Linked DNA regions of Sus scrofa. The protein of the gene in region 2 binds, or shares a complex with, the protein of the main gene of each other region. Links are inferred from orthologs where the notes say so. Each region holds a gene or a part of one and is shown on either strand. Other genes may lie near its edges. The genes, in order: NPPA and NPR1.

Region 1 (3,883 bases), on a different chromosome or scaffold from region 2:
TTCAATCCCTGACCTCGCTCAGTGGATTAAGGACCCAGAGTTGCCACAAGCTGAGGCATAGGGCACAGATGGAGCTGGAATCCCACGTTGCTCTGTCTGTGATGTAGGCTGGCAGCTGCAGTTCTGATTCAACCCCTAGCTTGGGAACTTCCATATGCCACAGGTGTGACTATAAAAAGAAAAAAAAAACAAAACAAAAAAGCCCTGATATTTGTAACTTTTCTTTTTCAATAAATAAGTACCCTAAATGTGAGCACATCTGAGTAAAGATAAATACCCTTTGGGTCTCCTGGGGATTTTTCAAGATCCATGGTGAGGTGGCAGTGAGCATGAAGGCAGGTTAAGAGCTGTGTTTTGAGTCCCCAAGCCCTAAACACACACACACGCAAACACCCATACACAGAGGAATGAAGGGAGCCCAAAATTGTGCAAACCCATTGAATATACACCACTAAGAATGACCTCTCTGTGAACTGTGGACATTGGGTGGCTCTGCTGTGTCAGTGCAGGTACGTCGATGGGAACATATGTCCCACTCTGGGGGGGGATGTTGATAATTGAGGAGCCCGTGCATCGGGGGTGGCCAGGGTTACATGAGAAATCTCTACTTTCTGTTCAGCTTTGCTGTGAGCATAAAATAAAACTGCACCCCAAAATAATTTTATTATTTTTTACAAAGGAGGGGGAAAGGAATTGAGCATTCTTTACTCTGAGGAAAGGTAAAATGACAAGGAATAGCAGACTAAACTCCTTTCGGGAGTTGAAAGAAATCAGACCAACCACAGCCTTCAGCGTCTGTCCGTGGTGCTGAAGTTTATTGGTTTTGAAACCAATGTCAGTTAACAGGTGACTAAAATTTAATGCAGGAGTGGGAGAGGTGGAGAAGCCGCAATGAAATCACTTTACATTTAGCCTAAAATGTGAGACATGTTGACAGGAGGCTGCCCCTTGAATCGGGTGCTCTTCACACCTCAACTTGACAGCAACGAGACAGGACAAAGATGAGAGAGAGACCCCAGGGGATGAGGGTCTCTCCAAGTCTGGCCGGGGCCTGGCTCGCCTTTTCCTCCCTGGCGTTATCTTCGGTACTACAAAGAGAACAGAAACGTGTTTGGCTTGGGGACCTGGCTCTCCTGGAAAAGTCAGCTTCACAGGACAATTCTTACTTCCTACGGTCCCCTCTCCAGCCCAACGACTGCCTGAGTTGCATGAACTGGCAAACGAATTGACATGAGGAGCTAGTAAAGTCGATCCTGGTAAATTTCCATTTTGGGGGGAATCTGACACTTTGGGGAGGAGCATAAAATGCCAATCAGCCGGAAGAAGGTGAATTTTTTAAGTTCCCAGGGCTCATGGCAAGGAACTTCTTTTTTGCCTATCATTTTCTCAGCAGGCTCTAGCTGAGGATGACGTCATTGTTCCGAGAGTCACAGAGCTCCCACCCAGCTAGCGCAGAAATTTCAAAGAGAATGTGGTTTTTTTGTTTGTTTGTTTGTTTGTTTATTTATTTTATTTTTTTTTTTTTAGTGCTGCACCAGAGGCATATGGCGGTTCCCAGGCTAGGGGTCGAATCGGAGCTATTGCCACCGGCCTGTGCCACAGCCACAGCAAGGCCAGATCTGAGGCTTGTCTATGACCTACACCACAACTCACGGCAACGCCGGATCCTTAACCCACTGAGGAAGGCCAGGGATCGAACCCACAACCTCATGGTTCCTAGTCGGATTCGTTTCCTCTGCGCCACGACGGGAACTCCCCAAAGAGAATGAGCCTTAATGCTGATCCCTCTCCTGCTGAGGGCATCCCTAGTGGTACTCTTTCACAAGGCCTGAATATCAATGAAACCCCATGTCCTTCCTCCCCGTCCCATTTCCACCCCTGGTTTCTCTTACCCGGAAGCTGTTACAGCCCAGTCCACTCTGTGCTCCAATCCTGTCCATCCTACCCCCGAAGCAGCTGGACCTCCGCAGGCTCCGAGGGGCAGCAAGCAGTGCCCTCAGCTTGCTCTTCAGAAGGGCAGATCTATCGGAAGCGTCCCAGGGGCCCCGCCCCAGGGCACCCCCATCTCTCTGGGCTGGGTTCACCTCCCCGGTCCAGGGAGGTACCTCCAAAAGGGGGCTGAGAGGGGCCCCCACTTCCTCATTCTGCTCGCTTAGTACTTGTGGGGGCATAGCCTCATCTTCTAAAGGCATCTTGTCCTCCAAGTGGTCCAGCAAATTCTTGATAAAAGGAAGAGCGGGAAAGGGAGAGATCTCACTGACGGGCACCAGGTCCCAAAGCCCCCTCACCCCAGACTGTGCCCCTTTCCTGGCCCTACCTTGAAATCCATCAGGTCTGCATTGGACACGGAGCCGTACACAGGGTTCGCTCTGGTTTGCCCTGGGAACTGAAACACCAGAACGAGGAGGAAGCTCACGGTGATGGTGGAGGAGCCCATGCTGGCGTCGGTCAGGGAGTGGTCTGCCACTTGCTCCTCTTCCCTCTCCTTTCTGGTTTCCCCCTCCTGGCTTTCGTCCGTCTCTGTCTTCCAGCTGCCCTGAGCCACCTCTTTTATAGCCCCCAGGCTCTCCGAGAGCGCAAGAGGGATGGAACCCTCCCCATTCTGTCACTTGCAGTGATAAAGCCGCTGAGTGAGGAGCCAGCAGAAGATGCCCTTTTAAAGTTATCAGTCCAGCCAGCTTGTCACAGCCCCTCCACCTTGAGCAGCCCCAACAACCCCCGGGACCCTCAGCTGCAAGAGCCACATTCTTGTTGATTTGCCTCAAGAGGTTCCCACTTCAAAGGTGTGAGAAGAGCGAAAAAGAGTCCTTGGTTATCTCCCAGCGATGCCTCGGGCTTCTTTCTCCTGGGCAACGGGACCCAGGCAGGGAAGCACAGGGTGACGGCTGGCTGGCACCCAGCTCCCCTGCTGGTTTGCGGCTCAGCTGTCAGGGGCTCCAAATAAGGGCGGGAGAGGAGGAAATGGCAGGCAGCCAGCGGCTAGGGACAAATTAGTCCAGATGCTCCAGCTGACCTCACACCTGACTCCTGGGTGGGGAGGGCAGGCCTTTCCCTCCACAGGGCTGCCCTTGCTCCCTGGCTGTCACTCTCAGCCATCAGGTGAAGACAGAGGACTTTTTTAGAGTCCTAAGTCAGCCGGAACTAAATGTGACAAATGTCCCAAGAACCCTGCTCCCAAATACAAACACCCAGAAGAGTTTGGGGAACGTGGTCATCGCTCTGCAAATCTTACCCCCGCACAGCTCCCTCCGAGGAGCTGCAGGAAATGGGCCCTGAGAGGATGCTGGCATTTGCCTTTTTTTTTTTTTTTTTTTTTTTTTTTTGGCTTTTAAGGGTCACACCTGCATCATATGGAAGTTCCCAGGCTAGGGGCTGAATCAGAACTGCAGCCGCCGACCCATAGCCACAGCAACACCAGATCTGAGCTGCATATGACCTACACCACAACTCACGGCAACAACAGGTCCTTCACCCACTGAGCAAGGCCAAGGATCAAACCCGCATCCTCATGGATAATAGCTGGGTTCGTTGCCACTGAGCCACTGTGGGAACTCTCCGGCATGTTCATCTGGAGAAGCTCAGCCTCTGGGTTTGAAGCATGGAGGGCCTCACACCTTCCAGGCAAGCTCCCAGGCAAAGTTGGCTGATGGAGTGAGGGTGGGAGACAACCAGGGTCCATGCAGTTTCCCTTAACGCCGCCCACATCCTTCTCTGAGGCTAAGAAAGCGATAAGCCCCTGAGGCCTCCATTTCCGCCCCCCCCCCAACAAGAGAAACACCAGGGGTGAGCTTGTCCACGTTTAAGGAGGGGCCTCCATTCACTGCACTCAATGCTGCACACTCTTTGATGCAACGTATCCTGGGGGCAAGCCTGCACTTGAAGG
Region 2 (3,807 bases):
CTTGATAAAGCAGTAAATTAACACGTGATGGGTTTATTATAGTTCTTTTAAATGAGTTGATAAAGCCTTGTTTTAATTTCTAATACAGAATATATCAATAGATACGACTCACATAAACAAAAACTCTGGGAGGCCCTCAGTAGTTCTTAGAGGTGTAAACAAGACTAAAACCAATAGTGCCGGCACTGCTAGGGTAATTCAAAGCCTATGACACTGGCTTCTCAAAGTTGAAGGTAAACTGCAGCCTTGTTTCAGATCCCACATTGCAATCCCAGCTTGAGAAACAGGTTCTATTTGAAGCAGGGGGCGAAGAATACGGCTCTGTTTTCTGGCCACCCTCTCTCCCTCGAGAAAAGACACTGTCACTAGAATAAAGATTTTAATGGTCTCCACTCACAGGAGAAGCAAGGCATACAGGCCCACAGCCCTCCGGCCCTTCCTCTGCTGCCCTGGGCACTGCACCCAACGTCGGGTGGTGGGGAACAGGGGCTGTTGGTGGTCCTGGATTCACCTACAGTCCCTTTTCCCATGCCCCCCTCAGGGGGCTCTTCCCCTGTCCCCACAAAAGTCACAGTGTAGCAAGGTTGAGGGAGGAGGAGGGCACAGGGACGGCCAGGAGGATCCAGGAATCCACATCCCATCTGGCCTGGCCTGAGTCAGGGTGGAGAGCGAGTGATTGTGCCTATGTGTGGGGGTCCCTGGGCATGACTGTGAGTTCTGGTCCAGTCCTGTGAGCCCCAAGTTCTCCTCCACACCAGCCCTCTTTCAGAGGTAATATCTGGTGTCTCCAATGGGGTGGGCTCACCTGAGCTGTTCAAACCACTTCTTTGGCAATGGTGAGGATGCTGTGGGCGAGGCTGAAGCCTGGCGCCTCTCTGTCACCTCTGGCACAGGGAAGGGAGGTGTGGAAGGCCAGGAGGGGAGCCAGGTCAGCCTCGGGTGCTACTCCCCCGCTCCCCCAGGAGCCAGTAGGTCCGAACTTTGCCTTTGCCCTGGAGGGAAAAAGAGGAGGTTGGGGCTGGGGAGTGACACGCCCACTCTCCCAAATGATGGGAGCGGGTCTGGCTGCTTGAGAAAGGGCCTGGGGGAGAGTCAGCCCCTCTGGGGCCCCACAGGGTGGCAAAGGCAGGTGCTTCCTTCTCTACCTTCATTTCCACATCCCCTCGAAGCTCCAGCTCGAAACCACCAAACTCCTCCAGGACAGCCCTAGTCTCAGAAGACAAGTGGATCTTCAGGGCTGGGGAGGAGAAGGGAGAAGGGAGGTGAGAGATGCAAGAGATGGGAGCAGGAGATCAGGGACTCTGAGGCTAGAAAGATGCCCTCTCTCCTTCCTTTGGCCTAGAAAGCCTCCTAATTCTGAGTCCCATCCCCTCCATGTGGTGTGTGACCACACTGGCCTCTCCTTAAGAATTCTAGAGCTCTGTTGTCCACCATGACAGCCACCAGTCACATGTGGTTATTTAAGTTTAGTGAAAATTAAATAGGGAGTTCCCGCTGTGGCACCATGGGTTAAAGACAAGGCATTGCCATAGCCATGGCTCAGATTCCATCCCTGCCCTGGGAACCTCCCTATGCCGTGGTATGGGTGAAAAAGGAAAAACCAACAACGACAGCAACAACTAAATAAGAAGTTCTCTTGTGGCACAGTGGGTTGAGGAGCTGGCATTGTCAGTGCAGTGGCTTGGGTCGCTGCTGTGGGGTGGATCTGATCCCCCACCAGGGAACTTCCACATGCCGAGGGCATGACCAAAAAAAAGAAAAAAAAAAAAAAAAAGAGTTTATCATGGTGCAGGGGAAACAGATCTGACTAGAAACCATGAGGTTGAGGGTTCAATCCCTGGCCTCGCTCAGTGGGTTGAGTATCTGGTGTTGTCGTGAGCTGTGGGTGTAGGTCACAGACGTGGCTCTGATCCTGTGTTGCTGTGGCTCTGGCGTAGGCCTGCTGCTGTAGTTTCGACTAGACCCCTAGCCTGGGAACCTTCATATGCTGAGGATGCGGCCCTAAAAAGTAAAAAACAAAACAAAAAAACACTCGAACAACCCCAAAACTAAATACAGTTAAAAAAGCAATGCGTCAGAGGCTATCACATTGGCCTGGCACAGCTTAGGGAGCATTTCCATGACTGCAGAAGCTTCTGTTGGACGGCGCTCCAGAGCATGACCAGGCTCTGGACAGACGGTAGATTCCAGCAGTCAGGAGCTCAGACACTAGAACCTGCCCTGCCTGTATGAATCCCAGCTTGGACACTTGCTTGGGGAAGTAATACAAACTCTCTGTGCCTTTTTCCTAGTCTACAAAATGCCGATAACAGCAGGACCCACCTCGAAGACTTGGGAGGATTAAACTTCACATTATTGACAAAGTACCAAAAAAGAATCTGGTACATGGGAGGCACTCACTCTAAGTGTTTGCTACCATCATTATTTTACTCCACACCCTCATTTTAGGGCTGAGGGAGGCCAGGCCTCGGGGAGGAGATCTGCCCAAGAGGCGCTGAGGTCAGCCCCAGGCTGCCTGACTCCCGACTGCCTTTTCCGGTGGCCCCTTCTTTGCCCAGCCTCTGAACTTGCCCCCCCAACTCCTGGGGTCTGCGTCACGGCGGCCTTGTTCCTCGTTAAACCATGTCTAAGCACGCGCTCCTTGAGCTCTGGACCTCAGTGAGAAGATTTCTCCCACCCCAACAGCCCCAAACACTGTGCCCTGAAATATCTGCTGAACCAGACCCCCTCTGGGCTCCCAAGGAGCCCCTCGCCCACCATGAGGCCTAGATGGGGTGGGCGTGGGTTCCCCAGCAAACTGTGATCTGGGTTATCATAGTGTGTTAGGGCTTGGTGTGCAGTAGTTGCTCAATAAATGTTGACTGAATTGAACTGTGTTGAATACAGCAGGCGGTCAAAGAGCCATAGGAAGCAAGCCCAAGGGAAGAGGTGGGAGCAAGCATTTATTAGGCACCTACTGTGTCCCAGGGGTTATGCTATGTTTTTTACAACCTGAGACAGGCTTCATTTTATAGATAAACAGCTGAAGCCCAGAAAAGTTGAATGACAATGTGTTAGTCATGTGAGGCAACTCTCTCACATAAATCTTCTGAGGTAGATATTTTTGTTTGTGTGTTTTAATTTTTTTTTCCTTTTTCTTTTATGGCCGCACCCTCGGCATATGGAGGTTCCCAGGCTAGGGGTTGAATCGGAGCTGTAGCCACTGACCTAAATCACAGACACCGCAACTCAGGATCCGAGCCACGTCTGCGACTTACACTGCAGCTCACGGCAACACCAGATCCTTAACCCACTGAGTGAGCCTGGGACCTGAGTCCTTCTGGATACTAGAAGGATTTGTTTCTGCTGCGCCACATCAGGAACTCCCTTCAGAGGTAGATATTTAATTCCCATTTTCCAGATGAGGAAAACTGAGAAGCTCTCTTTACCACACCTAAGAGGACCCTAAAAGTAGGATTCCTGCTAAGAACTGCTGGACACTGGCCTGAGAAGAGTGGTCTATCATTTGGCAAGAGTGGGCAGCTGGGACCTGAGTCTCTGGTTGGATTGAGGGTGATCTGGCCAGGCTGAACCCTTCTAAGAAGGGAGCCTGGAAGGGGGAGAATAGGGATTGAATGGGCGTGAGCTGCCAGGAGGACCTGCCCTCCCCACCCTGCCTAGAGGGCCCAGCATACCTTCCCCGTTAGACTCCATTCTTGAAGCTGTGTTGACTGTGTCCCCAAAGAGACAGTAACGGGGCATCTTCAGCCCTACCACACCAGCACACACAGGTCCTGGAGGGAGCCGAAGTCCATTAGCCAGTGGGTG

The links.
Region 1: the proteins of NPR1 (region 2) and NPPA are in contact, whole or in part, in a crystal structure (PDB 7BRG), measured with the Rattus norvegicus proteins. The link is inferred for Sus scrofa from reciprocal best matches to the Homo sapiens genes NPR1 and NPPA. Residues at the interface, in NP_036745.1 of Rattus norvegicus: Asp90, Val115, Tyr116, Ala119, Pro120, Arg123, Ala139, Leu140, Gly141, Ile142, Val144, Tyr148, Tyr182, Asp184, Leu186, Gly187, Asp188, Asp189, Arg190, Phe193, Phe194, Val196, Glu197, Tyr200, Met201, Arg204, His213, Gln214, Glu215, Phe216; in NP_036744.1 of Rattus norvegicus: Arg126, Ser127, Ser128, Cys129, Phe130, Gly131, Gly132, Arg133, Ile134, Asp135, Arg136, Ile137, Gly138, Ala139, Gln140, Ser141, Gly142, Leu143, Gly144, Cys145, Asn146, Ser147, Phe148, Arg149, Tyr150.

Annotation. Positions count from the first base shown.
Region 1 is NC_010448.4:71,918,770-71,922,652, forward strand, and holds NPPA (natriuretic peptides A), read right to left. Parts: upstream 2,577-3,883; 5' UTR 2,438-2,576; coding exon 2,318-2,437; intron 2,220-2,317; coding exon 1,893-2,219; intron 1,089-1,892; coding exon 1,077-1,088; 3' UTR 788-1,076; downstream 1-787.
Region 2 is NC_010446.5:95,957,207-95,961,013, forward strand, and holds the end of NPR1 (atrial natriuretic peptide receptor 1), read right to left. Parts: intron 3,774-3,807; coding exon 3,675-3,773; intron 1,238-3,674; coding exon 1,146-1,237; intron 993-1,145; coding exon 930-992; 3' UTR 14-929; downstream 1-13. UniProt on the Homo sapiens protein: Receptor for the atrial natriuretic peptide NPPA/ANP and the brain natriuretic peptide NPPB/BNP which are potent vasoactive hormones playing a key role in cardiovascular homeostasis.